Macaca mulatta: one gene and its partners. The main gene of each other region encodes a partner of the protein of the gene in region 7 in a complex. Links are inferred from orthologs where the notes say so. Each region holds a gene or a part of one and is shown on either strand. Other genes may lie near its edges. The genes, in order: LSM7, PRPF6, LSM2, PPIH, PRPF4, SNRPG and TXNL4A.

Evidence for each region.
Region 1: TXNL4A (region 7) and LSM7 share a complex: the UniProt entries of both Homo sapiens proteins name them as parts of the precatalytic spliceosome. The link is inferred for Macaca mulatta from reciprocal best matches to the Homo sapiens genes TXNL4A and LSM7.
Region 2: TXNL4A (region 7) and PRPF6 share a complex: the UniProt entries of both Homo sapiens proteins name them as parts of the U4/U6-U5 tri-snRNP complex. The link is inferred for Macaca mulatta from reciprocal best matches to the Homo sapiens genes TXNL4A and PRPF6.
Region 3: TXNL4A (region 7) and LSM2 share a complex: the UniProt entries of both Homo sapiens proteins name them as parts of the precatalytic spliceosome. The link is inferred for Macaca mulatta from reciprocal best matches to the Homo sapiens genes TXNL4A and LSM2.
Region 4: TXNL4A (region 7) and PPIH share a complex: the UniProt entries of both Homo sapiens proteins name them as parts of the U4/U6-U5 tri-snRNP complex. The link is inferred for Macaca mulatta from reciprocal best matches to the Homo sapiens genes TXNL4A and PPIH.
Region 5: TXNL4A (region 7) and PRPF4 share a complex: the UniProt entries of both Homo sapiens proteins name them as parts of the precatalytic spliceosome. The link is inferred for Macaca mulatta from reciprocal best matches to the Homo sapiens genes TXNL4A and PRPF4.
Region 6: TXNL4A (region 7) and SNRPG share a complex: the UniProt entries of both Homo sapiens proteins name them as parts of the U4/U6-U5 tri-snRNP complex. The link is inferred for Macaca mulatta from reciprocal best matches to the Homo sapiens genes TXNL4A and SNRPG.

The regions. Positions count from the first base shown.
Region 1 is NC_133424.1:3,075,559-3,079,604, forward strand, and holds the start of LSM7 (U6 snRNA-associated Sm-like protein LSm7), read right to left. Parts: upstream 2,801-4,046; 5' UTR 2,772-2,800; coding exon 2,766-2,771; intron 2,683-2,765; coding exon 2,592-2,682; intron 2,525-2,591; exon of another isoform or gene 1,436-2,524; intron 1,001-1,435; exon of another isoform or gene 917-1,000; intron 827-916; exon of another isoform or gene 405-826; intron 1-404. Other genes in the region: SPPL2B (signal peptide peptidase-like 2B), read left to right, coding at 2,925-2,990. UniProt on the Homo sapiens protein: Plays a role in pre-mRNA splicing as component of the U4/U6-U5 tri-snRNP complex that is involved in spliceosome assembly, and as component of the precatalytic spliceosome (spliceosome B complex).
Region 2 is NC_133415.1:116,912,815-116,916,314, reverse strand, and holds part of PRPF6 (pre-mRNA-processing factor 6), read right to left. Parts: intron 2,408-3,500; coding exon 2,288-2,407; intron 1,241-2,287; coding exon 1,064-1,240; intron 640-1,063; coding exon 506-639; intron 1-505. UniProt on the Homo sapiens protein: Involved in pre-mRNA splicing as component of the U4/U6-U5 tri-snRNP complex, one of the building blocks of the spliceosome.
Region 3 is NC_133409.1:150,509,299-150,513,464, reverse strand, and holds the start of LSM2 (U6 snRNA-associated Sm-like protein LSm2), read right to left. Parts: upstream 2,801-4,166; 5' UTR 2,591-2,800; coding exon 2,588-2,590; intron 1,979-2,587; coding exon 1,911-1,978; intron 1-1,910. UniProt on the Homo sapiens protein: Plays a role in pre-mRNA splicing as component of the U4/U6-U5 tri-snRNP complex that is involved in spliceosome assembly, and as component of the precatalytic spliceosome (spliceosome B complex).
Region 4 is NC_133406.1:198,100,205-198,104,388, forward strand, and holds the start of PPIH (peptidyl-prolyl cis-trans isomerase H), read right to left. Parts: upstream 2,801-4,184; 5' UTR 2,760-2,800; coding exon 2,694-2,759; intron 2,362-2,693; coding exon 2,297-2,361; intron 1,979-2,296; coding exon 1,955-1,978; exon of another isoform or gene 1,862-1,954; coding exon of another isoform or gene 1,836-1,861; intron 1,686-1,835; coding exon 1,641-1,685; intron 326-1,640; coding exon 283-325; intron 1-282. UniProt on the Homo sapiens protein: PPIase that catalyzes the cis-trans isomerization of proline imidic peptide bonds in oligopeptides and may therefore assist protein folding. Participates in pre-mRNA splicing.
Region 5 is NC_133420.1:45,025,925-45,029,424, forward strand, and holds part of PRPF4 (U4/U6 small nuclear ribonucleoprotein Prp4), read right to left. Parts: intron 2,442-3,500; exon of another isoform or gene 2,426-2,441; coding exon of another isoform or gene 2,403-2,425; coding exon 2,344-2,402; intron 1,900-2,343; coding exon 1,776-1,899; intron 436-1,775; coding exon 346-435; intron 1-345. UniProt on the Homo sapiens protein: Plays a role in pre-mRNA splicing as component of the U4/U6-U5 tri-snRNP complex that is involved in spliceosome assembly, and as component of the precatalytic spliceosome (spliceosome B complex).
Region 6 is NC_133418.1:54,435,739-54,440,022, reverse strand, and holds the start of SNRPG (small nuclear ribonucleoprotein G), read right to left. Parts: upstream 2,801-4,284; 5' UTR 2,713-2,800; coding exon 2,681-2,712; intron 2,565-2,680; exon of another isoform or gene 2,234-2,564; coding exon of another isoform or gene 2,226-2,233; intron 1,039-2,225; exon of another isoform or gene 938-1,038; coding exon of another isoform or gene 891-937; intron 1-890. UniProt on the Homo sapiens protein: Plays a role in pre-mRNA splicing as a core component of the spliceosomal U1, U2, U4 and U5 small nuclear ribonucleoproteins (snRNPs), the building blocks of the spliceosome.
Region 7 is NC_133423.1:1,023,876-1,028,093, reverse strand, and holds the start of TXNL4A (thioredoxin-like protein 4A), read right to left. Parts: upstream 2,801-4,218; 5' UTR 2,747-2,800; coding exon 2,594-2,746; intron 1,098-2,593; exon of another isoform or gene 985-1,097; coding exon of another isoform or gene 949-984; intron 1-948. UniProt on the Homo sapiens protein: Plays a role in pre-mRNA splicing as component of the U5 snRNP and U4/U6-U5 tri-snRNP complexes that are involved in spliceosome assembly, and as component of the precatalytic spliceosome (spliceosome B complex).

The DNA of each region.
Region 1 (4,046 bases), on a different chromosome or scaffold from region 7:
CTCGCCGCCTTAGGTCACAACTTGGCACCTTGGGTTAGGGCTCTCTGACCCGGTGGTGACCTCTGCCATCTGATCCTGCTCCGCAGTGTCTGGTGACACTGAGAAGGGTGAAGGGGGAGCTGCGTGTCCTCAGCAGAGGCCAGCCCACCCTCCCTGTCCGGGACTCCCGTCCTCTCCCCCCAGGCTCCTCCAGCCCAGGCCCAGGAGCGGTTCCGCCTCTGCGCTCACTGAGGGGCGTCCCACAGCCACCCGCTCCCTACCCTCCTTCTTACCCCTGTCATCTTTCAGGTGCTTCCTCCAGACACCAACCCACACCCCTTAGGGTGCTGCCCTCTGCATGCCCCCCACCAATCTCAGGAAGCAGGCACCCCAGGCATTATTCTGCCCGCCTATCTTCTCCCAAGGCAGGGCTGTGAGCCTGTCCATGGCCGTTCTGCGCTGCGAACTACGACCAGAGGCGAAAGTGGCCCACCGCTCATCTCTGTATGCCAAAGTTTCACTGGCCCACCAGCACACTCGCCCGCTCAGGCACTGACCAGGGCGGCTCTCCTGCTCTGCGGGCATAGCTCACTGGTTGTGACAAGAGACCATCTGGGCTGCAAAGCTGAAGATATTTGCTGTCTGGCCTTCTACAGAGAAGGTCTGCCCACCTGCATACAGGCTTTAGCTCCTACCTCCACGGCTCCCTCTCTCTGTGCTCAAGTCCCTCCCCTGCAAAATGAAACTTGTCACCTATGAGATGGGGTCAGACGCAGCGGTTCAGGTCCTTGGCACCAGCCTGACCAGTGAGCCAGCCCTCCTCACGGGGACAGATGTGAGCACTGAGGTAGGTAGGTCTCTAACCAAGGTTCCCCTCCCCGGGGTGTGGGCTCGGGCCTGTGACTCTGAGGGGACATGACGTCACTCCTGCACTTAGGTTATGCAGCTGTTTAAGCCCCTGAACCAGCTGACTTTGAGCCAATCTAGAGGGAAACACCCTGGGTGAGCCTGACCATATCAGGTGAGTCCTTCAGGGAGCAAACCCTTTCTCTGCTGTGTGTGTGCGTGTGTGTGATTTATTTATTTTTAGACGGAGTCTCGCTCTGTCTCCCAGACTGGAGTGCAGTGGCGCGATCTCAGCTCACTGCAACCTCTGCCTCCTGGGTTCAAGAGATTCTCCTGCCTCAGCCTCCTGAGTTGTTGGGATTACAGGTGTGCGCCACCACGCCCAGCTAATTTTTTTGTATTTTTCGTAGAGATGGGGTTTCACAAAACCCCATGTTGGTCAGGCTGGTCTCGATCTCCTGATCATATGATCCGCCTGCCTCAGTCTCCCAAAGTGCTGGGGTTACAGGCGTGAGTCCCTGCGCCCCGCCAAGAGCTGCAGCATGCATCACCAGCCCACTGCCCATGCGAATGCTTCCTGCCCTCTGAGAGCTCGCCCTGTCTTCACTAGATTCCATGGAAGAGTCGCAGGCAGAGGCAAGCATCAGGTTAACATGCACGAAACCGCAAACGGTGACAGGTGCCACCAGGATCCTAGAACGATGGGGGGCCTGACGCCAGGGTCAGGGAGGGCTTCCCAGAGCAAGCACCTGTGGAACTTGTGCTTTTGCCGCCCTTTGCAGTCATAATCAGAAGTATGGATTCGGATTTTACTCCAAAACAACGGGGAGCCTCAGAGCTTTTCAGCAGGGAGCAAGAAGCCTCCATTTCTTTTTCATTAGGTGCCTCTGGCCGCTGAGTGGAGACTGACCTTAGTAGCTGTGATTCCCAATCACAGCTTGGGGGTCGGGGGGCGATCCTATCCCCAGAGAACACTAAGCAATGTCTGAGGCTATTTAGGTTGTCACAACTTGGTGGAGGCCAGGGATGCTGCTCAGCACCCTGCAGTGCCCCAGGACGGCCCCACTCCAGAGAATCCGGCCCCAAATGTGTCCACACTGCTGTGCGGGAAAGACCTTGACTTAGAGGGAGGAAGAGGAGAAGCCGGGAGATCTGTGGGGATCTGGGGCAGTCCTTGGACACACAGGACTGCTCTGGAGGCCAAGCCGGAAATCCCAATACCGGCTGCGCCACTGTGACTTTGGGTTACGTTTGTTTCCCGCTCCTTGCCCCAGTTTCCCCGCCTGCAAAATGGCCATACCAGTTCCTACCTCCCGGCGTAATTCGGAAGCCTGCACAAGGTAGTCGGCGTCAAGCGTGTAAAGAGGCGCCTCTGCGGCGGCTCACGCCTGTCATCCCAGCACTTTGGGAGGCCGAGACGGGCGAATCACTTGAGGTCAGAAGTTTGAGACCAGCCTGGCCAACATGGTGAAACCCCGTCTCTACTAGAAATACAAAAATTAACCAGGAGTGGTGGCGCCTGTAGCCCCAGCCACGCAGGAGGCTGAGGCAGGAGAATCGCTTGAACCCGGGAGGCGGAGGTTGCAGTGAGCTGAGATCGCACCACTTGCACTCCAGACTGGGCGACGGAGCGAGACTGCGTCTCAAATAAATACATAAATAAAAATAAATAAAAGAGGCGCCTCTGCATGCATCCTCATCACCTCTCTTGCTGAGTTTATTTTAAAATTTTAAAGGGGGGGTGCCAACGGCGGGAGCCGCCTCACCTTCGCGTCCTCCCTGAAACTTCACCCGGATCGTCTTGTCGATGTACTTGGACAAGTCCAAGATGCTCTCCTTTTTCTTCTTCTCCTTATCCTGCGGGGAAAGCAGAGCGCATGAGGCCTGGAGCGCGGCCCGAGCCCCACGCCCCCCGGCTCCGGATTCCGCCGCGCGCTCACCGCCATCTTGTCGCGCCGTGCGGCTCTTCGCAGACACCGCCCCGTGCCCTGTGACCTCTCCCCTCCCCCCCCACGCGCATGCGCGGCGCATGCGTGGCCCGGGGTCTCGGGGCGTTGCTGGGAAACATCTGCCGACGGTTGCGGCGGGCACCGGCCGAGATGGCGGCGGTGGCGGCGGCTGCGCTGGCGCGGCTTGTGGCGGCCTTTCTGCTCCTCGCGGCCCAGGTGAGCGCGGCACCGGTCCCGACGGCACCGCAGGCTGCGGCCCTTCGGCCTCTCGGCCCCGAGGCTACGCGCAGGAACGACCCCTCTTGGCCCGTCTTGGGGGGTCGAGCCTCGGGGATCCGCGGTCCCCTCGTTGTCGGCCGGCGGTGCCGGGGCCCGGCCGTGACCTTGCGGGGCTGTCCCCGGCTTCTCTCCCTTCCCCGCCTCGGAGGCCCTCCGCCGCTGCAGCGCCCCTCACTTCCCACCGGGCCTGAAGTTTGTGCCCCCTCCATCTCCCGGTTCTGCTTGTCCGTTTCGGGGTCTCCAGCCGCCGCGGGGGACGCCTCTCTCCCGCTCTGTGGCCTTGGGCAGGCGGCCGCCCACCCCGCTCCGAGCCTCAGTTTCCCTTTAGGCGGAATGGCCGGGTGCTAAGCTAACCTCACCCTAGGGGGTGCGGTGGGGGAACCCAGAGGCGTCCCGCGTGTCCCCCAGTGACTGGCCAGCATCCTGGAGCGGCCAAGAGCCCAGCCCTGCACTGGGGTCGTATCCCCGCTCCATCTTTTACTCCGTGACCTTGGACGAGGGAATTCCCTGCTTTGAGCGTCGGTTGCTCGTCTGGAGAAGGGGGGTCGACTATGGTGTGGATTCTGGAGATGCTACCCAGGGTGACCAGCGCCTAGGGACAGCACGCCTTCCTTATATTCATTGTGTATCCTTTGATGTAGAGTGTCAGGTTCTAGCGGGGACAGTCTACGAGATGGCACTGTCGTAACTGCATCTTTTATTTTCTTAATTCCAAGTCTTCCCTCTTACCTGAGTTTGGTGGCTCAGGGAATGGAACCCGGAGCAGCCTCACAAATGCGGCCCTTAACCTTCACTCCTCTCTCAGAGTTCTCTTAAGGCGTTGCTGCCACTGGGCTCCTTCTTAGTCTCCACTCTTCCAGCCCCACCGCCATCCCCCTGCTGTGGCTGCCTTTGTCCCCCACATCCCTAGTCCATCCTCGACACAGCAGGAGTGACCCTTTCAAAGTATGTCAGTCCATGTCGCATCTGGATGAACGTGCCGTCCAGTTGTGA
Region 2 (3,500 bases), on a different chromosome or scaffold from region 7:
TGCAGGTGAAGGCATCCAGCACAAGCAAGACCAGCCTGGGAGAGCCAGGGCCGCACAAGGCCCCCAGGAGCTGCCTGTCTGCAGAGTGCAGTACTCCAGCCCCGTCACCCTGAGCTGGATGCAGCACCTCCATGAACAGAGCCTGCACCTCGCAGACTCCTACCCACCTCCAGGGCCCTCCACGCCACCTCCTCTGTGGAGTCAGCTCTCCGGGGTCCATCCTTCCCTCGTCCCAGCCATCGTCAACCCCTCCCTCTCCCAGGCACCCTCCATCAGAACACAAACTAAACTGCATCAAACCATCTGCAGGCCTGTCCCAGTACCTAAGCCGAACCCTCCCAAGGCAGGGACCGTGATTTTTCGTGGCCAGCACCTACTGCCTCGCAAGCCCCCGAGCCTGGAAACACTGCACAAGTCACTCCACACAAGCAGCTGGGTGAGGACGGCCCACCTGATGGGTAAGCTGTGCCAAGAGCCCAGGCTGCCCCCACTCATCAGGACTCACCACAGCCCAGGGTTCTTTGGGTTCTTCAGACGAGACTTTTCCAAAATGGCCCGGGCTCGAGTTAGCTGCCCAATCTTCTCCTCCAGCCGAGAGAGCAAAAGCCACAGGGGTGTGGAGTGGGGACACTTCTTCAACTGCAGCCGACAAGTGAGAGAGCAGCTCAGGTGGTGTCTATGAAGAACTGGGACGCAGCCATGCCAGCTGCTCACTGCAGTGGGCGAGCCAGCACCTCAGGACTGCCTGTGTCCCACTCTGCATTTGTGGGTTTACGAGTGTGCGGTGGTGCTGTGGACCTGTGCACACAGGTCTGTACATACCAGCCTTTACTTCAGGTGTGCCACGCTCTGCACTTCTGAGAGCAGCGTGTGCAGCTTCATACAAGGCAAAGCACAGAACTCAGTGAGGGGACCGGGGTGTGGGTCCTGAGCCCACAGCTCCCTCGCTGTAACCCCCAGCCCTCCACATCTCCTCAGAGGTGAAGGGCAATGGCCCTGCACCAGGGGGCTCAGTTCTGTGAATGCCGGGCCAGCTGCAGCCCGAGGGTGCAGGCAGACATACCCCCTGGTTATAGGCTTCCCGCGCGTTCTCCATCATCTCCTTCTGCTCCTCGATCTGCCCCTTCATCATCCACAGCTTGGGGAAGTCCTCATAGTGCCGCAGGGCCTCCTCGCACAGATCCTGGGCTGCCCTGATGTTGTCTTGCACCCACTCCAGCTTCACAGACTTCATGAACACCTGTGGGGCAGACACGCACCGTCAGCAGGGCATCGGCTCCAAGGCACGTGCTTCGTGTTACGCTCGTCCTCGACACTGTTACCTGCAGCACTGTGGGTACTTTTGTAAGCTTTTCATAGCCTGTTTGTGTACACAAAAGGTGGGGATAAATATATGAGTATGTTTTTGTTTTGTTTTTTTGAGATAGAATCTTGCTCTGTCACCCAGGCTGGAGTGCAGTGGCGCGATCTCGGCTCACTGCAAGCTCTGCCTCCCAGGTTCAAGTAATTCTCCTGCCTCAGCCTCCCCGAGTAGCTGGGACTACAGGCACACGCTACCACACCTGGCTAATTTTGTATTTTTAGTAGAGACGGGGTTTCACCATGTTGGTCAGGCTGGTGTTGAACTCCTGACCTCGTGATCTACCCTCCTCGGCCTCCCAAAGTGCTGGGATTGCAGGTGTGAGCCACCGCGCCCGGCCGCATGCAGGTTTTGTTGTTGTTGTTGTTGAGTTTCCCTCTTGCTGCCCAGGCTGGAGTGTAGTGGCGCAATCTCAGCTCATGGCAACCTCCGCCCCCAGGTTCAAGCAATTCTCCTGCCTCAGCCTCCTGAGTAGCTGGGATTATAGGCATGTGCCACCACGTCCAGCTAATTTGTATTTTTAGTAGAGACAGGGTTTCTCCATGTTGGTCAGGCTGGTCTCAAACTCCCACCCTCAGGTAATCCATCCGCCCTGGCCTCCCAAAGAGATGGGATTACAGATGTGAGAGCCACCACGCCCGGCCACACGGATGTTTTAAAGTCACATCACAAAGATGAGTGTGCTGTGTGCTGAGATTACAGGCGTGAGCCACCATGCCTGGCCATATGAATGTTTTAAAGTCACATCACAAAGATGAGTGTGCTGTGTGCTGAGATTATAGACGTGAGCCACCATGCCTGGCCATATGAATGTGCTCTGGTCTCGTTTGCCTGCTGTCATCTCACATCACCACTCAAGCCAGGTGCGGGGCCCACGTGTGCACACCACGCACCCCGGATGGCCCAGCCCTGCCTGCCACTGCGTACCCGGGCGGTGGGGGCGCTGCTCCGCGCCTTGGCCAGCAGCCTCCGGGCCCGCTCGTACTCATCATTCTCGGACTCCAGCTTCACGGCCGCCAGCCAGATCTCCTCGCTGTTGGGGTTGGCCTGGAGGGCAAGTACAGCAGCGTCAAGAGGGGTCAGAACACAGGGACCAGCGCCTGATCACACTTAATCAAAAGCAGGCAGGCAGGAACTGAGCCAGGCCTTGTTCTGCTGCAGGATTAGTCCGGCCCAAGCCCTTCCCAGGGAGGAGATGACAGAGCAGACTCCAGTGCAAGAATCCGGACTCACCTGGAAACACACAGGTCCATGTTCACTCTAGTACAGCGCGGACAGCGAGGAGGCTGCCAAAGCACTGAGCAATAATGGGGGTGGGAGCAGGGCCATCTTATCCAGGATCCATCCACACCCTCTCAAAGCCCCTGAATGGGTCACTCACACCCTATAGAGACCCACCACACCCAACCTCGCTCTTTGCCCTGAGCCTGATGAAAGGAAGCCAGCTGTTCTGTCCTCATGAGCCCACATGGGCAGGAGAGAGGACTCCCAGAGTGCCACTGACATGTGGAGAAGGCGTCCACAGGCCGAGGAGGCTCACACAGCCCAGAGCCCAGTGGACATGAAGGCTCTGCCCTCGGAGCCTCCCCAGGGCTGGTGCCCAGGGCTGTCTGAATGCATCCTAATCAGCACAGCCGCTCACTGACCATGCAAGATGACCACATCACAGACCTGAAAAGCAGCCCAAAAACGATGGGCAAGGAAAGCCGCCTGACAGGCAGCAGAGAGCGGGCAGGCGGAGGGGACGCTGCGGTCACCCACAGGAGTGATGCCATCTCAAACAGGCAGCTGAGAGCGGAAGGTAAAACCCAGGCCAGGCCCCTCTCATGATGTTTGCTCAAGGAAGGGCACGCTCTATGACATTAGCCTGCACTGCAGTAACTGACGTTTATACAGCATTCTACAGTTTATTAAAAAGTATGTCATGAAGTATTAGGATGCTATATGTGAAAATAAAGACAAGTACTTAAAAAAACACACACACACCTCATGACAACCAGGCACCCTCAGACAACCCGGCTCAGCGAGGCTGTCTGAATGCGTCCACTCACGTAAGGGCACCCTCAGCCCGTGTGACCTCATGCTCTACACTCTGAAACATTTACCCGTGGTCACACGGCGTCGGGGGCCAAGAGGTACG
Region 3 (4,166 bases), on a different chromosome or scaffold from region 7:
TTCCTCATATGTATAACAGCAATAGTACATATTACTAAGGAGTGTTTGAGAAATCAATCAATAAATGTATTCAGAATAGTGCTTAGTCAATAGGTCTTCAGATATTATTTTTCTTTCCTTAAGCACCTATCATACAACTGGCCTATACTAGGTATTAGATACACAGTAGCATATCTAATACGTAGGTTTCACCATGTTGGCCAGGCTGGTCTCAATCTCTTGACCTTGTGATCCACCCACCTCAGCCTCCCAAAGTGCTGGGATTACAGGCATGAGCCACCATGCCCAGCCTATGGCCTGTTCTGTTTTTTTGTTTATTTTTTTGAGATGGAGTCTCGCTCTGGTCGCCCAGGCTGGAGTGCAGTGGTGCCATCTTGGCTCACTGCAAGCTCCACCTCCTGGGTTCATGCCATTCTCCTGCCTCAGCCTCCCAAGTAGCTGGAACTACAGGCGCCCGCCACCACACCAGGCTAATTTTTTGTATTTTTAGTAGAGATGGGGTTTCACCATGTTAGGCAGGATGGTCTCAATCTCCTGACCTCGTGATCCGCCCACCTCGGCCTCCGAAAGTGCTGGGATTACAGGCGTGAGCCACTGCGCCTGGCCTGGCCTGTTCTTTTTTGAGACAGTCTTCCTCTGTCACCCAGGCTGGAGTAAAGTGGTACAATCATGGCTCACTGCAGCCTCGACCTCCTGGGTTCAAGTGATCCTCCCACCTCAGTCTCCCGAATAGCTGGGACTACAGGCATGTAAACCACATCTGGCTAATCTTTTATAGAAATGGTTCTATGTTGCCCAGGCTAGTCTCGACATCCTGGACTCAAGTGATCCTCCTGCCTCAGCCTCCCAAAGTGCTGAGATTACAGGTGTGAGCCACCATGGCCAGCCTAGTACTTACTCTTTATTTATTTTTTTTGAGACAGAGTCTCACTCTGTCACCCAGGCTGGAGTGCAGTGGTGTAATCTCAGCTCACTGCAACCTCTGCCACCCAGGTTCAAGCGATTTTCCTGCCTCAGCCTCCCAAGTAGCTGGGATTACAGGCACCTGCCACCATGCCTGGCTAATTTTTGTATTTTTAGTAGAGACGGGGTTTCACCATCTTGGCCAGACTGGTCTTGAACTCCTGACCTCGTGATTCACCCACCTCGGCCTCCCAAAGTGCTGGGATTACAGGCATGAGCCACACGTCCAGCCCATGAGCCACCACACCTGACCAGTATTTACTCTTTAAACTGTATATTGCTTTGTATTGTTTTCCAATACACAATACAATCCCCAAGCTTATCTGTAAATTTAAGGCACAAGGCATTTATTTATTGTTAAATTTTAAAATTTGTCTTAGAGATGGGGTCTTGCTCTATTGCCCTGGCTAGAGTGCAATGGAGTAATCACTGCTCACTGCAGCCTCAAACTCCTGGGCTCAAGCAATCCTCCCTCCTCAGTCTCCCAAAGTGCTCGGATTACAGGCGTGAGCCACTGCACCCCACCCATTTATTTCTTTTGTTTGTTTGAGACAGAGCCTCGCTCTGTCACCCAGGCTGGAGTGCAGTGGCGTGATCTGGGCTCACTGCAAGCTCTGCCTCCCAGGTTCACGCCATTCTCCTGCCTCAGCCTCCAAAGTAGCTGGGACTACAGGGGCCTGCCACCATGCCTGGCTAATTTTTTGTATTTTTAGTAGAGACAGGGTTTCACCGTGTTAGCCAGGATGGTCTTGATCTCCTGACCTCGTGATCCGCCCACCTCAGCCTCCCAAAGTGCTGAGATTACAGGCGTGAGCCACCGCACCCGGCCATTTATTTCTTCTGTACATATTCCACCTCACCCAGCCCTCAAATATTTCTCAAATTAAAGAGGTTCCAGGGCCCTGGGCACACCCACCCCCAACAGACTTGTTGGAACAGGTACCTACCTCAGGTCATTCTTGAGTTCCACGACCACATCCTTGCCCACAAGGGACTTGAAAAAAGAATAGAAGAGCTATTGGGAGAGAGGGGGAAAACCATCATGTGGGAAGGAACATGGTAGGGAGGAGTGTCCCTTGACAGTATTACCAAATACCGGTATTGTGAACCCCATTGCATCCCTAACAGTTCTCAAAATTTCACAGGAAAGAATAATTGGTTGAGAGGTGAAAGGCTGGAGCCCAAATTATTCTGCACACTGCATTGAGCCCATCACTTAAAGTCCCAGAGAGGCTCTGCCCTGCATACCTCGGCCTCCCCAGTGTGCTCTCTCAATCGACCACCTTTCTCGGGTACCTGCCCACTCCTTTCAATGAATTACAGAAAACATCCCACCCGCACCCTGCCGAAGCTTGCCTGGCAGAGAAGTGCTCTAAGGTCTAACTTTTCCGTCTCCCGCTGTCCCCACTGAATCTCTCTCAGGGTTGGGGTTTTTTTCCTCATCATGGAAAAAAAAAATCCCATTTGCTCTCAGGTGTCTCCTCAACGAACTTGAGGAACAGGACTAACGATGAAGATAAAAACTCCGGACCTAACTCCAGCCTAGGGGGACAAAGGCCAGACCCCCCTGCCCCAACCGTCCGAGATCCCCGAGGGCGACCCCTTTTGACGTCACGGTACCCACCATGGTGCTGGCGCAGCGGGCAGCGGGCCGGAGCGAGAAAAGAGCCGGATGCTGAGACCAGGTCTGGGAGAACCGAAGCGCGAGCCCGCGCGTGGGGCGAGGCGGGACCGCGCAGGCGCAGCGGGAAGGGACGCAGAACCCTCCAAGCGCTGAAGGGTAAAGCGCGGCCGACTTGCGGCTGGGGAGCGCAAGCTGGGTAAAACCGAGGGGAGGAGGAAGCCGGGAAAGGGGCGGGGTTTCCTTCGTTCCGACTTCTTCCAGGGCCGGCCGGCTCCCATTGCGCAGGCGCGGACCCTAGCCTGGGCTGCTAGGCGGGTGGAGGCACTCGGCGTCTGAGCTCAAAAGGTTTTGTTTTCCATAACCCTGCCGTCCACAGCGTGATGTGTTCGTGCCCTCTACACACATCCTATCGAGAATTGTGGGGAGTTTGTGAAGATTATGAAGTGTGCACTTTTCTATATTTGTTAAAGTAAAAACATAAAATTCAAAAAATAAAATTAAAAAATGTTTTTAATCTTAAATTCAGCTGATAAAAAAAAAAAAGGCCGAGGGCGGTGGCTCACGCCTTCAATCCCAGCACTCTGAGAGGCCAAGGTGGATGGATTGTGTGAGGTCAGGAGTTCGAGACCAGGCTAGCCAACATGGTGAAGTCCCGTCTTCACTAAAAATACAAAAAAAATTAGCCAGGCGTGGTCGCGGGCGCCTGTAATCCCAGCTACTCGGGAGGCTGAGGAAGGAGAATTGCGTGAACCCGGGAGGTGGAGGTTGCAGGGAGCCAAGATCATGCCACTGCACTGCAGCCTGGGCGACAGAGCGAGACTCGTCTCAAAAAAAAAAAAAAAATTGGCCGGGCGCGGTGGCTCACGCCTGTAATCCCAGCACTTTGGGAGGCCGAGACGGGCGGATCACGAGGTCAGGAGATCGAGACCATCCTGGCTAACACGGTGAAACCCCGTCTCTACTAAAAAATACAAAAAACTAGCCGGGCGAGGTGGCGGGTGCCTGTAGTCCCAGCTACTCGGGAGGCTGAGGCAGGAGAATGGCGTGAACCCGGGAGGCGGAGCTTGCAGTGAGCTGAGATCCGGCCACCGCACTCCAGCCTGGGTGACAGAGAGAGACTCCGTCTTAAAAAAAAAAAAAAAAAAAAAAATTGACCGGGCGCAGTGGCTGACGCCTATAATCCCGCACTTTGGGAGGCCAAGGCAAATGGATCACCTGAGGTCAGGAGTTCTAGACCAGCCTGGCCAACATGGCGAAATCCTGTCTCTACTAAAAACCCAAAAATTAGCCAGGTGTGGTGGCACGCGCCTGTAAACCCGGGAGGTATAAGTTGCAGTGAGTGGAGATCGTGCCATTGTACTCCAGCCTGGGCAACAACAGTGAAACTCTTGTCTCAAAACAACAACAACAACAAAATGTTGAGGCTTGTAAATCCCAGCATTTTGGGAGGCTGAGGCAGGAGGATCATTTGAACCCAAGAGTTACAGTGAGCTACGATCTCCCCACTGCATTCCAGCCTGGGCAAGACTCTGTCTATAAAAAAGAAAATTATAAAAAACAAAAAAATGTTGAGGAGTCC
Region 4 (4,184 bases), on a different chromosome or scaffold from region 7:
ATCTACAGGGTATTCTTAAAAAGTCCAATTTCTGGCTCAAAAAGGCTGAGATTTGGACCATGGAAGTTAATGCCTCAATCAAAGTGCTAAAGTCTGTTATCTACAGTCAGTTGTACCTAGCCACTTCCAAGAACTTCCCCATCACCATTCTCTCCAACACCCCCATCAAACCTGGCTATTGTTCTCAAGCCTTAAGACTGGGTCTCTGTAGTAAAAACAGCAATTGCAACGATAATAAAAACTAAAACTACAGGTCTTTGATAGAAAAGGAATAGTACTTACATTAACAAAATCTCCACCCTGAATCATGAAATCCTTTATGACCCTGAAACAGAGAGCAAAGAATACTGAGAGAAGATTTTATGGAGACTTTGTTATTATTGTATTAGATTAACATTGATTTCAAAATACACTATAACTTTGGCTATTATAAAATCACCATTCTTAGCTGGGTGCGGTGACTCACGCCTGTAATCCCAGCAGTTTGGGAGGCCGAGGCAGGCAGATCACATGAGGCCAGGAGTTTGAGACCAGCCTGGCCAACATGGCAAAACCCCATCTCTACTAAAAATACAAAAATTAGCCAGTCGTGGTGGCACATGCCTGTATTCCCGGCTACTTGGGAGGCTGAGGCAAAAGAATTGCTTGAACCCAGAAGGCGGAGGTTGCAGTGAGCCAAGATCATGCCACTGCACTCTAGCCTGGGTGACAGAGCGGGACTCTGTCTCAAAAAAAAACCAAAAACCAAAAACCAAAACAACAAAAAAAGAAGATTATTCTTTTCCTGGAATGATTAAGCTGAAAGGATAATTAACCATAAAAAAGGATTTTAGTTATAAATTAGGGCATGTTAGAGTTGATCAAGTGCATGATCTGGTACCTGAACAGTAACAAGAAGAAGGGGCTGAAAGCCTGCAGGAAGAATGACCACATTACTTGCCAAAGCAAAAGGCAGATCAAGGATTTGATGTAAATTTGGGGCAAAGAACTACAGAGAATTTATGTGAAAGGTACTGCTACACATGTAAGGGCTTAACAATTGTTAGCTATTACCCCTAGGGAGGGTCCTTAACCTTTGTTATCCTCAGTTTCCTCCTCTGTAGAATGCAGATCACACATACCACTTCACAGGAGTCTTACTGGGGATTAGAGACCCACAGTTCTAAAGCTGTGATATAATTATGTGCTAACATTGTTACTAACCACAGTGAGGCCATGAGAAAGATTCTATATTGAAATGAGACTAAGTGTTGCCATACTCCACTCCCCAGGAAATATGATTATCCTTGGACAATCATATATGATCATTTTAGGAATTAGTTATAAATAGCAACCAGCAGGATATATTATATGCACTTTAGGATTACAAGTGTACTTCTTTAAAAATCTGCATTTGCACAAACAAGTGCATGAAAAAGACAGGATATTGTAAAGATGAGTAGTTTCTGTTTTAAAGACATAAGAAGTGGGAGAGTATAAGTAGAGTTAGAATATTTAATAAATCTTCAGTTATTGAGTCCACAAAAACATTTCTTCTTAAGAAATGTAAGAATTACCTCTGGTTTTATTTTCCTCTAAAGAGCCTAATCCCCCAGGAAATATTTCTGAAAGACTCTAGGATGGCTTGCCAAAAGCCTTACCTGTGGAAGGTGCTTCCTTTGTATCCTATTGGAACCCCATCTTTTCTATAACAAAAAGAAAGAGACTTGGAGTGATAGCAGGTAGCACAAGGCCTTTCCAGTTTACCATGCACTGGAGCCAAAAGGACTCTCCTAAAGATGGTTGACAGACATAAAGAAGGCAAATAAACTAGGGACAGACCCTTGGGGCATTACCTTCTATCACTGTCACCAGCAATCATTCAAGGCCAGCAGCTGGTTCACCGATACCCTCACCGCAGCCCCAGAACACCCTTCTGGAGCAGGCAAAGAAGTCAAACACATCTGAAACTGACCTGAATTCTCCGGTGCAGAACTGCCTGAAAGGGACAAAAAGTGAACAATTCAATCACTATGACATCACAGTCGTGACCGCCTCTAAAGACGGGAAAGAATAAACAATGGAGCCAGCAAGTCCACCAATCGGCCAGCCAGACGTCCAAACACGGAGACGTACAGACTAACAACGTAAATTAACACGGGAACAATCCAAACGGCAACCAGACAGAGCAATGCACGGAGGAATCAGGTCTCAAGAGCAGTGAGCGGACGGACAGAGGTAGACAGGCTATTCAGGCGGCTGACTAGAGCCCGACTTCTGCCTCAGCTAATCCAGCGGAACTGGAGCACGTCCTTACCTAAAGTTCTCGGCCGTCTTAGGCACAACGTCTGCAAAGAGCTCGATCTTCATGCGGCCAACTTCCTGCAATCAGCGGGAGACTGTCAGAAGGCCCAGTCCAAGACCATGAGGGCTTCACGGAGCTGGGGGCAGGATGGGCTGACCCACCACCCTGCCGCTCGGTATCACCCACCTCCGCCTCTCTGGTCTAACCGCCCAGTTCCTCCAGAAGCGGGGCGCTAGGATTGGGGAGACTTCTCCTCATTTCTCCCCGCCCTGCAGGTCGGTAGGTTCGGGTGCAATTTCGCTTTCTGGCTGGCTTCCCGAGTCCGCTCTCTCTGGGTGAGTTCTGCCTGCCTAGCTAGCCCCGAGCAGTTTCCCTTCGGCGCAGGTGTGGGTAGCGTCCTGGATCTCACCTGACCGCCAATGCTGACATCAAAGAACACCACGGGGTTAACAGGACTTGAATTTGCCACCGCCATGGCTCCGACCCGGAAGCAGAAGTCGGGAGCGTGGGATTCCGGCGAACCTAAAGCCCTGTCCGCGGGTTTCGTCCGGGGAGCAGGCGCGGTGGACGCCGAGAGAGACCGGGCCCCGCCCCCGGAAGCTGTCGCCCCGTGCCGTGTGTGCTGAGGCTGCTGGGGTCTAGCTGGGAGACTCTCCCTGAGACGGGGGACGCGGGAGTGAGGAGGAGGAAAGCCTTGACATCTTTTTGGTTAAGGTCGATGGTCACCCCACTCACGTGGCTGTACTAAGGGCAGTACAAGTTGATCTTGCTCTAGCTAGGGCTTTTGGACTAGGCAGTCGCCAGGGTCCTCCTTATCGGCTCTTGCAACCAAGCCCTCTACACCGCCACACGTGCTGTGTCTGTCTTCTGCCCGCTAGTCTGTGAACACCGTGAAGGCAGGATCTCTGGTTTGTTCATCCTCAGCGTTTAGAACAGCTTGGCACGTAAAGGCTTGCTAAGTAAATATTTGTCCCTTCCTCTAAGTCAGGACAATAGATTATGTTTCCGTTCTGCCACAAGCTCCCAGTTTGGTCATTTCCAATTCGTTTCCCACAGAGTAACTAGAGTTTTTTATTTTTTATTTTTAAAATACCTCTTGTGATTCCTATTTATTTTTAAAATAACTCCTGGCTTCCTATATTTAGAATAAAATCCAATTCTGTACATAGGAAGCCCTCCAGTGCATTAATCTGGCTATTACCTACCTGACCTCATCTTGTACCACTTGCCCTTAGTTACTGTGCTCTGACCTGTCTGCTCCTCCAGGTCACTGAGATCCCTCCTTTCTTTAAGGCCTTGTAATAGCTGTTTCTTCTGTCTGAAATATTCCTTCCAGATCTTAATGTGGGTTGGCGGGGTGATGGTGGGGTTTGGTTGGGCTATGTGTGTGGGAAGTAATGCTCCTTGTAGTTCAGGGCTCACCCCAGATGTTACCTCCTCAGAGGCAACATTAGACCTAATCTAAAGTAGCCCTTGGTCACTCAGATCACTGGTTTGTTTTCTTCATGCCACCCCCCATTTCACATTTGTATGGTATGTGTCTGCACCTCATTTCCTGCCACACACACATACATCTTCCTCCCTAATAGCATATAAACTCCATGAAAGTAGAGACTCTCTCAGTCCTGTTCGCAGCTGTAGCTGCAATGTCTCCTACTGAATAGCACATAGTAGGTAAATATAATAGATTCAATGAATTTAGTGAAAGAAGGGGAACTTGGGCAAGACTCATTAGCTATAACAGCATGCATTTAATATAATAGTTATTATTTCCTAGGTCCTTTGATCATCTTTTCTAGCTCTGTCGTCGGAGGAAGCAAGAATTACATATAAAAATCCAGTGTGTCTCAATTTAAAGGGTCATTTTTATTCCTGGTTACTGATCCTCTCCTCTTGGTCT
Region 5 (3,500 bases), on a different chromosome or scaffold from region 7:
GCTGGGCGTGGTGGCACGTGCCTGTAGTCCCAGCTACTAGGGAGGTCGAGGCAGGAGAATCGCTTGAACCCAGGAGGCAAAGGTTGCAGTGAGCTGAGATCGCGCCACTGCACTCTAGCCTGGGTGACAGAGTGAGACTCTGCCTCAAAAAAAAAAAAAAAAAAAAAAAGGCAAATATACTTAGCCCTCACTATATTAAACATTCTCCTCTGATTCCAATTCTCTGCAGCCCAAGAAAATCCTACCTAAAGATCTCTGCTCTAAAAATTTACCTGGCACATAGCCATAAAGAGTTAAGAAGATGCCACAGGCCTATATGGATAAAACAGTAACAGGATGGCTCACCAGGTGGTGCCCAGGAAACGTCCTGATGGATGCCACATTACCCGGGCCACACGCACTGTATGGCCTTCAATATCTGCCACTGGTTCATCACTGGAAAAGAACCAAACATATAAACAATTTTATAGACATATAAATATTCCCAAAACTGATTACCTTTTGTGCAGCTATACCCATTCTTTACAACATGAGAGGCTAAATTGTAACTACACTTGTAAAATACTTCGGCCCAATAAGCAAAATAGTCATTCTGTACCAAAGGAGTACCTGAATTCTAGAAAGAAAACATGCTTTGGAAGAGACATAAGGACACAGAAATCACACAGTTTTGGTACAGGATTACAGATAAACCTTTTTCAAATTTAGGCCTGTTCTAAGATCCAAATGAAAAAGGAACTCCTAACTAGAGATGAGGCTTAGTCTCCTTTTGGTGGCTATTAAATTCTACAATCCAGCAACCACCAAAAGATCTGAAACATCAGCAAAAGGAAATAAACATGAACTCTAAGGAGGGTAATTAAAAAGGGAACTTTGTCAATGTGCATACACAGAACAAGCCAAAGCCCGAAGGGAATAAATATTGCTAAGTATTACCAAAGCCAATTAAAACTCGCTGTGCTCGTAAGTCAGACCCTGCCTGGTGAGGAATGAAGACATTAATTAGCTCTTATAAAAATTCTCAAGTAAAAACCTTCATGTGTTTTCCCAAAGAAAGAAAACTAAGCAATTAAATTCAGATGTCTTTTGGCCAACGGGGTGCTTCCAAAGTTTTTTTTTTTTTTTTGAAAACAATCACATAAACACATGTTAAAAAACTGTTGTAGTTGGAAAATACATTCTAGGTAAAGGATGACGCTACTGGGAGGAGACATCTCCCTGGTAATACTGCTAGACAGAACCTCACTTTCCTCTCCCCTGTGGCTGTTTGCTAAGAACCAATGAATTGCCAAGAATATTATCTTTAGTTCATTGTTAATCATGTAGGAGGTAGCCTGGATCTTTCTGGAATAAATGGAGCCAGGAAATAGTGGTCACTAGGCTACAGGCAAAAATCAAGATCCAAAGTTAACAGGTAAGAAAAAACTGACGTAACTCCTTTAGTAAGAAAAGGCCTAAGAATGAAATCTTCCACTTACTTCATTTTCACACTAAGTTACCTTGACTCTTAAACCATCTTGGGGGTTAAATGCCAGATTTTTTTTTCTTTCAAGACAGAGTCTTGCTCTGTCGCCCAGGCTGGAGTGCAGTGGTGCGATCTTAGCTCACCACAACCTTCACCTCCCAGGTTTAAGCAATTCTCCTGCCTCAGCCTTAAGGTGTGAACCACTGTGCATGGCCTAAATGCCAGATTGTTAACCTGAGGTCCTGGGGACCAACCAATCAAACATCTTCTTTAGTGATGGCAGTGTGGGCCGCAGAACAGTGATATTCACCTGTCGAGACTCCAAAGCTTCACAGAGCCATCAGCCGCACAAGAGGCCAGGTTGACATCTTTTTGGTCCAAGGAGACAGTAGATTTGGGATGGAATACAATTGCTCCTACATTTGTGTTATGCCCTAAAGGAGTGTAAGAGATCCAAGTTAAAAGGTTCCTGCCTCTTTATAACCTGTGTACAAATACAGACTATGATGAACATCACAGGTAAGTATATACTAGGGAACATGTGGACATAGAGAGTATGAAAGTGACTATTCAACTATTAAAACATGAACTATTTTAAGCTACCATTTAAATTATATTTTTTAAAAAAGCAAAACAAAAAAAAAACCCATTGTGGTTTTGGTTTAGAGATTACAAAATGCCAGAGTGTGACTGGACATGACAGAAAAGTGGATGTGTATGAAGTTGTGATAGTCCAGTCTTGCAGCCAGAGAAAACCAAGTCAAATCAAATCAAGAATTAATGCTGTGTGTATGGGGTCTGAGTGTCAAGCAGAGTTTACGGTGTAACTGAGTTCACACTGGGAAAAAGACTGAGATTTAGATAAGACTCTAACTTACCTCGAAGAGTGTGAAGGAGGTTGCAATCAGGAACAGACCAGAGCTTGCAAAGCCCACTCCTATCAAATACAAAGGAAAGCATCTCAGCCAGGGTTGGTCTGGGAAGGAAAAGGTACCTTGGTAATATTACTAAAGGACAATCTCTTCTCAACCCCAACAAACTTTACAATGGCTGACAGAAACATAAAAGCCTTATAGTTGGAAGGGTTATAGAAGAAAAAGCTACCTCCAGCCTGCACGCAACTAGAGGCTTTTACTGGACTATAATTAACACTACACCAGTAGCCATTTTCCTTAACTTTTGGATCCACTTGTGAGGGAAGGTGGGGCAAATTAAACTATCCAATAATACTAATATTAATAGTGATACTATCCTTAAATATGAACAGTATTTTGCTGATTACAAAGTATTTAAATTTTTTTTTGAGAAAGGGTGTCACTCTGTCACCTAGGCTGGAGTGCAGTAGCATGATCACAGTTCACTGCAGCCTCAACCTCCCAGGCTCAAGCAATTCTATCACTCAGCCTCCTGAGTAGCTGGGACTAATAGGCGCATGCCACCACACCTGGCTAACCTTTAAAAAATTAAATAAATTTTTAAAAATTTTATGGGCCAGGTACAGTGGCTCACGCCTGTAATCCCAGCACTTTGGGAGGCCGAGGCAGGCAGATCACAAGTCAGGAGATTGAATCCCTCTTGGCTAACACAGTGAAATGCTGTCTTTACTAAAAACACAAAAAATTAGCCGGGCATGGTGGTGGGCGCCTGTAGTCCCAGCTGCTTGGGAGGCTCAGGCAGGAGAATGGCATGAACCCAGGAAGCGGAGCATGAAGTGAGCTGAGATCGTGCCACTGCACTCCAGCCTGGGCGACAGTATGAGACTCCGTCTCAAAAGAAAAAAAAAAATGTGTAGAGACAGGGTCTCACTATGCTGCCCAGGCTGGTCTCAAACTCCTGGGCTCAAGTGATCCTCCCACCTCGGCCTTCTGAAGTGCTGGGATTACAAGCGTGAGCCACCCTGCCTGGCTGGCCTTAAACTTTATTTAGGCCAGCCTAATTTTTGGAAAATTTTGGAAAATTTTCAACAAATTACTTTTATATCTATTATCTCAGATGATCTTTCTAACAGACCTGTGAAGTAGGTACAGCAGGAATG
Region 6 (4,284 bases), on a different chromosome or scaffold from region 7:
TGAGGTCGGGAGTTCAAGACCAGCCTGATGAACATGAACATGGAGAAACCCCGTCTCTACTAAAAAAAAAAAAAAAAAAAAAAAAAAAAAAAAAAAAAAAAATTAGCCGGGTGTGGTGGTGCATGCCTGTAGTCCCAGCTACTCGGGAGGCTGAGGCAGGAGAATTGCTTGAACCCGGGAGGCACGGGTTGCGGTAAGCCGAGATTGCACCATTGCACTCCAGCCTGGGAATTAAGAGTGAAACTCCATCTCAAAAAAAAAAAAAAAAAAAAAAAAAAAATATATATATATATATATGTATATATATAAAAAAAAGTAATATATATGTAATATTATATGTAAAATTATATATGTAATATATATTACATATTATATATAATATATACACACATTTATGAAGTATGATGAACAAAACTATTTTAATAAGATACATAAAACATATCAAATATAACACAAGATCTTATACAATCTTTACAATGACTTTGCATGCAATTATGGTCTGTCATTTCTACCGTTTTTACAGATGGAGAACTAGGCTTGGAAAAGGTAAATCAATTTTTCGAAGTCACACAGCAAGTGAGAGCAAACACAAATAGTTCAGTCTGACTGGAGAAGAGAACACGTGAGTATTAGCAGCTGTAAGGTTTGGCGTTTGAATGCTGGCTTAAGTATAGATTCAGTTTTGCATACTGTGATAAATTATTAAAGCTGTCACTGGCAAGACCACTGTGGCAGCAAATTTTAAGAAGTGGAAGGAAGAATTCGGTTAAGCCAGTGTATCTCAACTTCTGCACTAATGACACTTGGGACCAGGTAATTTTGTATTGTTGGGGGCAGCCGAATAACGGTAGGATGTTTAGCAGCATCCCTGGTGTCACCAGATTCCTTACCCCCCATTTAAGAACCCCTGAGTTACGCTAAGCCAGAAGGAGGGCATAATGGTGTAAAAGAAGATGCTATCAGTGAGAAAGCAAAGAAAGAAAAAATTTGAAAGTCATTTTGACGGCAGATCTCACGGGATTTCACAATTCATGAAACCTATGGATGAGAAGAGAAAGGTATTAAAACTAGCTTCCTTCTCTGAAATTTTCAAAAACTATGTTATGAATCACAAATAAAATCTTAGATTACAAGTAGAGAATGGTGCTTTTGTTTAAAAAAAGAAAAATCACCATTTCACCAGTCCCTGATGAATCCAGAGGATACTTACATCACCAACTCACCAATAAAATAACTTTCAGATAAAAAGAGTAATTTTCACAATAATTTCTAACTTCTATTTTTCTAACGTTGGGCTATGTTTTAATAATTAATTCCTTAACAGACCTAACTAAAATATACATGAAAGTAGTTTTCATACAAAAGATGGCTTTGATACAAATATACCTTTAAATGCAATATTATTATTATTTGAAACAGAGTTTCGCTCTTGTTGCCCAGGCTGGAGGGCAATTGCTAGATCTTGACTCACTGCAGCCTCCACTTCCCGGGTTCAAGCGATTCTCCTGCCTCAGCCTCCCGAGTAGCTGAGACTACAGGCGCGTGCCACCATTCCTGGCTAATTTTTTGTATTTTTAGTAGAGACGGGGGGTTTCACCATGTTGGCCAGGCTGGTCTCGAACTCCTGACCTCAGGTGATCCACCCACCTTGGCCTCCCAAAGTGCTGGGATTACAGGCGTGAGTCACCGCCACTGGCCGCAAAATTATTAAATAGGAACTTTTCCTTATGTCTGACTTCCAGGGGCCTGGTAATAAATGAACTATACACAAAGCCAACCACATGCTACACCAGAAAAAATTGATTCCTGTAAAAATTTTGCATCCTCTGTGCAATCCAATAAATACATGTAGAATTCCAGCATCAGGGAGTACAAGCAAAACAGAGACGTACTGAGGAAACACATAACCTGTTAAGTCCAGTCAAAAAGTATTTGAGGAGTTTAAAGTTTTACGTTGAGTCCTACATAAATTAAGGCTCTCCTCCTTAAAGTTGTTTGTCTTTACTGGGTGTGTAAAAGAAACTTAAAAAAATTAGCCTTCTCTGATTAGAAAAAAATTAATGTTCTAAAAAAAATTTTATTTTTTAGAACATTAATTTTAGAAATGAATGTTCTTACATAGTTTCAATATCAGAGCAAGATAACACATGACATTCAAGCTTAATGTAAAAATAGGCAACAAAAAAGAATGAGGTTTCTAAGTAAAAGCTCAAAGAAACACCTACAAACACATTCTCTAAGGCTAAAGTGGCTTTTGGATTCCGATGCCTCACGTAGTTTTAAAAACACTTCCCTTCCATCCCCTCCTTAGTTCCTTTAGAGAATTTCCCCCTCTAGCCGTCTATCTAGAATATGATGCTATTAGAGATGTTCAACAAAAGCTGGCATTGGAGATCTTCAAGGAACGAGGGACAGCGCCGGGTGACTAGGGGCCGGAGCGCGGGACAGAGAGACTAGTCGGCCAGAAGGAGGTGCGGTGGCTGCCGGCGGTAACCACGCCAATGCGCGAGCTCTGCGCGGGCTTCACGTCTCATGAGCCGGAGCCTGGCCGGGATGCCGGCGACCTCGGACCGGAAGAAGAAATAAGGTGAAGCGGCTCAAGCCATTCGGCTTGAAACACCAAGGGACTCGGGGGACGCAAAGAAGCGACCACTTCGGTTTGGCTCTCACACATACTTACTTTTTCAACTCGGGAGGGTGAGCTTTGCTCATGGCGTATACTCCGCGGACTCACAGACGCCTTGGAACTGAATGCACGGCTTCCCTCAGGCTCCCGCGGTAGGCCCGGCGTCTTGCGTTTGGCGTCATCGACCTAGTTAGCCAATCGATTGTTGGCAGTTTTTAACACTTCACATCGCGATATCTGAGCGCCTCGGTCATTGCTGAGCTTCCGGTTGCGTCGTCAGCTATTGGCCAGGACAGAGGGGTGGGCCCTCTAGGCACCTTTCTAAATTCGGTTTTCCTTGGGCAAAATTGAGATAACGGGTATTCTGACGATGGAGTATCCGTGTTCTTGTCTATGGAACAGCCAAAAAAAAAAAAAAAAAAAAAAAAAAAAAAAAAAAAGCCTGGCGCCGTAAATCCCAGAACTTTGGATCTCTTGAGCCCAGGAGTTCGAGACCAGCTTGGGCAACATAGGGAGACCCCCTCCTCTATTTAAAAAATAAAATTGAAATACTGAGATAACAGTCCCCTCTCTAACTTCTGGGCAAACCCGGCAAATCCCGCATGTCTGTGGATCGTATCGCTTGTTTTCTTCATCTAAACCAAAATACCAAATAATGATCCCTGGAGGAATGGGCCTCTATATTTCTTTTTTTTTTCTGAGACAGTCTCGCTCTGTCCCCCAGGCTGGAGTGCAGTGGCTCGGTCTCGGCTCACTGCAAGCTCCGCCTCCTGAGTTCACGCCATTCTCCTGCCTCAGCCTCCTGAGTAGATGGGACTACAGGCACACGCCGCCACGCCCGGCTAATTTTTTGTATTTTTAGTAAAAATGGGGTTTCACTGTGTTAGCTGGGATGGTCTGGATCTCCTGACCTCATGATCCGCCCGCCTCGGCCTCCCAAAGTGCCAGGATTACAGGCGTGAGCCACCCGCGCCCAGCCGGGCCTCTATATTTCTTTGGCAGGTATCCTACAGCATACTTTCAGACCAAGTAGGGTTCCGGTAACATGCAAATTAGCAGCCTCTGCACCATTTGGAGAGTAAGGTGACTGGGCCTGTCTCCAAGAATTTCAATCTATTTCCGACTGATGGGTCTTGCAAAAAAAAATTTTTTTTTGTTTTGAGATGAGGTCTTGCTCTGTCACCCAGGCTGGGATGCATGATGTGATCATGGCTCACTGCAACCTCGAACCCCTGGCCTCAATCAATCCTCCCACCTCAGCCTCCTGAGTTGTTTAGACTACAGGCGCAAGCCACTGCACCCAGCTAATTTTTTTTTTTTTTTTTTTTTTTTTTTTTTTTTTTTGTAGAGACGACGTCTTGCTTTGTTGCCCAGGCTGTTCTCGAATTCCTGGCCTTAAGAGATCCGCCTGCCTCCAGCTCCCAGAGTGCTGAGATTACAGGCATGAGCCAGCATGCCTGGCAGTTCTGCAATTTTTCAAACATTACCTCCAGAACTCACTGATGTGCCATTGCCCCGTATATAAAACGTGAAGTGCAGCACACAAACATTCTCTAATACAAGGTATTCCTTTTTCATGTCAAGATGTGTAAAAAGTGGCCTCGGACTTGTTCCCAGTTATGTTACCCCAAAATAGGAGAATGCACGGATTATAGAAG
Region 7 (4,218 bases):
TGTTTCCAGACTAACTTTCTTCCTGAAGTTCACAGCTCAGCTCTAACCCAGCATGAGGCCAGTGGGCCTTGTGGAAGCAGCAGATCAATACAACACATCCAGGAAAAAATCGTATCAAGTCCAGCCGAACATCTGCAACTGTTACTCACTTTAAAACAGCTGGGACATCGACAGGACTCTTAACAAGATAAGGAAGATTCTCCATTATCTGCCATTTCTGCACAGGGAAATTTTTAAATAGTTATATTGTTCTTTATACTAAAATCTTACATTTCAAAAATTTCTGTTGAGTTTCCCCAAAAGAGCTTCCAGAATTAGAAAGTCATATTTTGCCCATATACTAAGAAGAAAATAAAACACGAATAGTCTTTTAATGCATTTCAGGTTTGCACTTATTTTTGGAGACAGGGTCTCACTCCTGTTGCCCAGGCTGGAGTTCAGTGGTATAATCATGGCTCACTGCAGCCTTGACTTCCCGGGCTCAGGTGATTCTCCCACCTCAGCCTCCCAAGTAGCTGGGACTACAGGCATGTGCCACCACGTCTGGCATTTGTACTTTTAGTAGAGAACGGGTTTCACCATATTGTCCAGGCTGGTCTCGAATTCCTGGGCTCAAGTGATCTGCCTACACTAGCCTCCCAACCAAAGTGCTGGGATTACAGATATGAACCACCGTGCCTGGCCTAGGTTTGCGCTTTTAATAATTATACTATAATATTTGCATTAAAAGTTTATTAATAAAGCAATCCAAATTTTTGGACAGAAACAAAAATCAAACTATTTTAAAAGACCAAAAAAAAAAAAAAAATACCCCAAAGTGAGCCCATTTCAACTGTCCTTAAGTGTGTGTCCACTAGTGATACAGTGATTCATTCTGTAATAACAAAGAAATCGGACATAAAGGAATTGGAAAAAAAGAGCAAATCTGGCAAAGACCCTAACACTTACATTAACACATAAAATCTGTTTCCTAGCTAAGAGCATCTTGCTGAGCTCTGCCTGGATGTGATGAGACAAAGGCCCTCACATCGCCAGCCATCCTAGCCTCGAGCTGCCGGCAGCAGGATCTGAACACCAGCTGATGTTTATGCCACCACCTGCAAGGTAGAACAGTGAAAGATTCTAGAACTCGTAACTCAAAGTCAGTGATTTACAAGCAGTGATTTACTTATTGGGAAACTGCTCTTCGTCAATTCTTCGCTGGATTTCCAGTATCTGCCCTTGTCCACTACAAGTCAAGCAATGAAAAGCTGATGTGCTGGCACTGCCTCACTCATCATCTCTAATCCCTGGCTGGCAGAAGCCCCAGTGTGAGAGAACTGCTGCTCTCCTGATTCCCTAGGCAGCTCCTCAAGTCCTCAGTGTCCTGCTGTCCAAGAGGAAGAGGCTGGGAGATGGCTGGTAATAAAGCACTCCGCCTCTGTCCCTGACCCCCATGGAAGGGTTTCTGAGTGTGTGGTTCAAGGTCAGGTCACATCAGAATTCCCTGAGGGGCTTCTTTAAAAAGCCATTGCTGGACTTCACCCCACACCCATAGACTCAGAATCACAGATGCATTTTAGTAAGCACTCCAAGAGATTCTTGTAATAACTAAAATATAACAACAGTTCCTAACATCACACCTCTCCTACTAAATAAGAAATAGCAAGAATTAATAAATGGCAGGCCAGACAGTCTTTCCTTTCCTCAATATAAAATGTCTTTATATCTGTTACTCTTTACTCAAAGGAGTTATTTTAACCCAGCCTACTTTAGCATCTGTGAAAGAAAAGATAGCTTCAATGTTACTTTTACTCTTCATCAAAATGAATAACCGCTCAAATTACTTACGGAAAATTAATATGGCAAATATTTTATTAACACCCTAGTATTTGTGCCCTTTGCCCTATTGCTACAGCTGCAAAACCTAAATAAACGCCATCCTAAAATTGCTGTGAGGAACCACAGAAAAAGAATGAAACCTGGTTATAGTGTCCCACAACTTTTATTGTCAGCAAGTAAGTGCCAAGGCCACTCAATGTACTAATATTAGAAATTCAGAAAACTAGTTCCAACAAAGCATAGTTCTATTTTCTCCCGATGTTTTCTGCATCTTAATCACTCTAAGCTATAAATCACATGACTTACAAAAAGCGCGGTGGAAGAAAACACCAACAGAAAAACAGGATTTCTTATGCTATTAACATGAAAGTTCTGCTTTACACATACAACAAACAAACAGGGCACCAGAAAAGGGCATCCTTTTAAATTAAGGATCTGCGCTCTCAAAACCTGCAAGTGTTACTTTGTTCACTGCACTGTAAGATTGGGAAAAACGCCTTACCAACAGAAATAATGAATTCCTTCGAGGGGAGGGGGATCATAAACCCTTTAAAACGTGAACAACTACAGGAGCTCCCTGCAGAAAAAGGCGCGAAACGCCGGCACAGTCCCCGAGAGCGCTCGCCCGCAGCGCGGGAAGGAATCGCCCGGACAACCGCGCCGCGGCCCCTCCTCGGGGAACGGCTCGCGCCCCCAGGCGAGGCCGGCGGGGCAGAGGCGCGGGGCCGCTGCGGAAGCACAGCCAGCAGGGCGGGAGGGCCCGGCGCGCTACCTTCTCGGCGATGCTGTATAGGACCTCGTCCATCTTCATGCAGGTGGGGTCCCAGTCGTGGCCGAAGCGGATGACGACCACGCGGTCCTCCTCGGAGAGAATGGCCTGGTCCACCTGCCAGCCGTTGTGCAGGTGCGGGAGCATGTACGACATGGCGACCCGCGCGCTCGCCGCCGCCCGAGGCCGGGCGCCAGGGAGGGCCCAGCGAGGTGGTGGGCTCAGCCGGCCCCTCACTCCGCGGCCCCCGCCGCCCCCGGGCCCACAGCCGAAACCCGGTCCCACCCACACCCGCAAGCTCCGCTGGCACTGCCGCCGGGCGGAACCTCTGGGCGCGCACGCACCGACGCCGTGCGTGCTGACGTCATGCGCACGGGCTGGCGCCGTGCGTGCTGACGTCACGCGCGTACAGACGCCGCGCTAGCTTGTCGTTGGCCGGCGGGAGCGGCGGCGACCTGGCCACGGTGGAGCGCGGTTGGTGCCCTCCTAGCCGGCGTCGGAGTGGGGGTTCCTCCCCAGCGTCCAGGCGGCCTGGTGGTCCTGAGAAGCCCCGGGCTCGCCGTGCCCTGCCCCGACGCACCCGCCCCGAGGCCGCCCGCCGCCGCCCGGGCTGTCCTCCAGCCACGGATGGGGACGTCTTCAGAAAGGCCCGGCATGCCCGGCACTGCGGCTCGTTTTTTTCCTTTCTGGTGTCTGTTTCGGGTCATCGTTTGTGCTGTGTGTTAGCGAGACGGTTCGTGTGTGTCATTTGTGAAACTTGACCATAAAAATGTGTCGTTGTTGCCATACCCAGCCACGGCAGAGCCGAGCAGCGGGGTGGGGGGAAGCACTGGGCAGGCCGTCCTTGAGGAATGTCACCGTCAGGCCGGCTGCTGAGCTGCCTGTTGTAACCCGAAACCAGAGTTTTTGTCTTTTTATAAAGAAAAAAAATTTTTTTTGAGACGTTGTCTCGTTCTGTCGCGCAGGCTGGAGTGCAGTGGCGTGATCTCGGCCCACTGCAGCCCCCGCCTCCCGGGTTCAAGCGCTTCTCCTGCCTCAGCCTCCCCGTAAGCTGGGACTACAGGCGCCAGCCCGGCTAGTTTTTTTGTACTTAGTAGAGACGGGGTTTAACCATGTTGGCCAGGCTGGTTTCGAACCCCTGACCTCAAGTGATCCGCCCGCTTCGGCCTCCCAAAGCGCTGAAATTACTGGAGGAAGCCACCGCGCCCGACCTGAAGCCAGTTTTATTGCATAGCTTCAGCATAACTTGCACCTCCAGGACTGATCTGGCTCCCCCGGCTTCGCTCCCCAGACCCTTACTGGTGCCTATGAACTTTCTCCAAGAGAAATAATATTTCTCTTTTTAAAATAAAACCTCTAATCTCTGTTCTTCTGAGAGAGCACTTTGGGTTCATGTTAGAGACTCCCCCTGGTTTGCAAACTGACATTGACAGTAAAACTCTTGTCTACTATCCAGCCATCCTGGTGGTCCTTTGGATGACAAATTGACAACAAATCATGCCCGGGCGCGGTGGCTCAGGCCTGTAATCCCGGCACTTTGGGAAGCCGAGGCCGGTGGATCGCCTGTGGTCGGGAGTTTAAGACCAGTCTGACCAACATGGTGAAACCCCGTCTCTACTAAAAATACA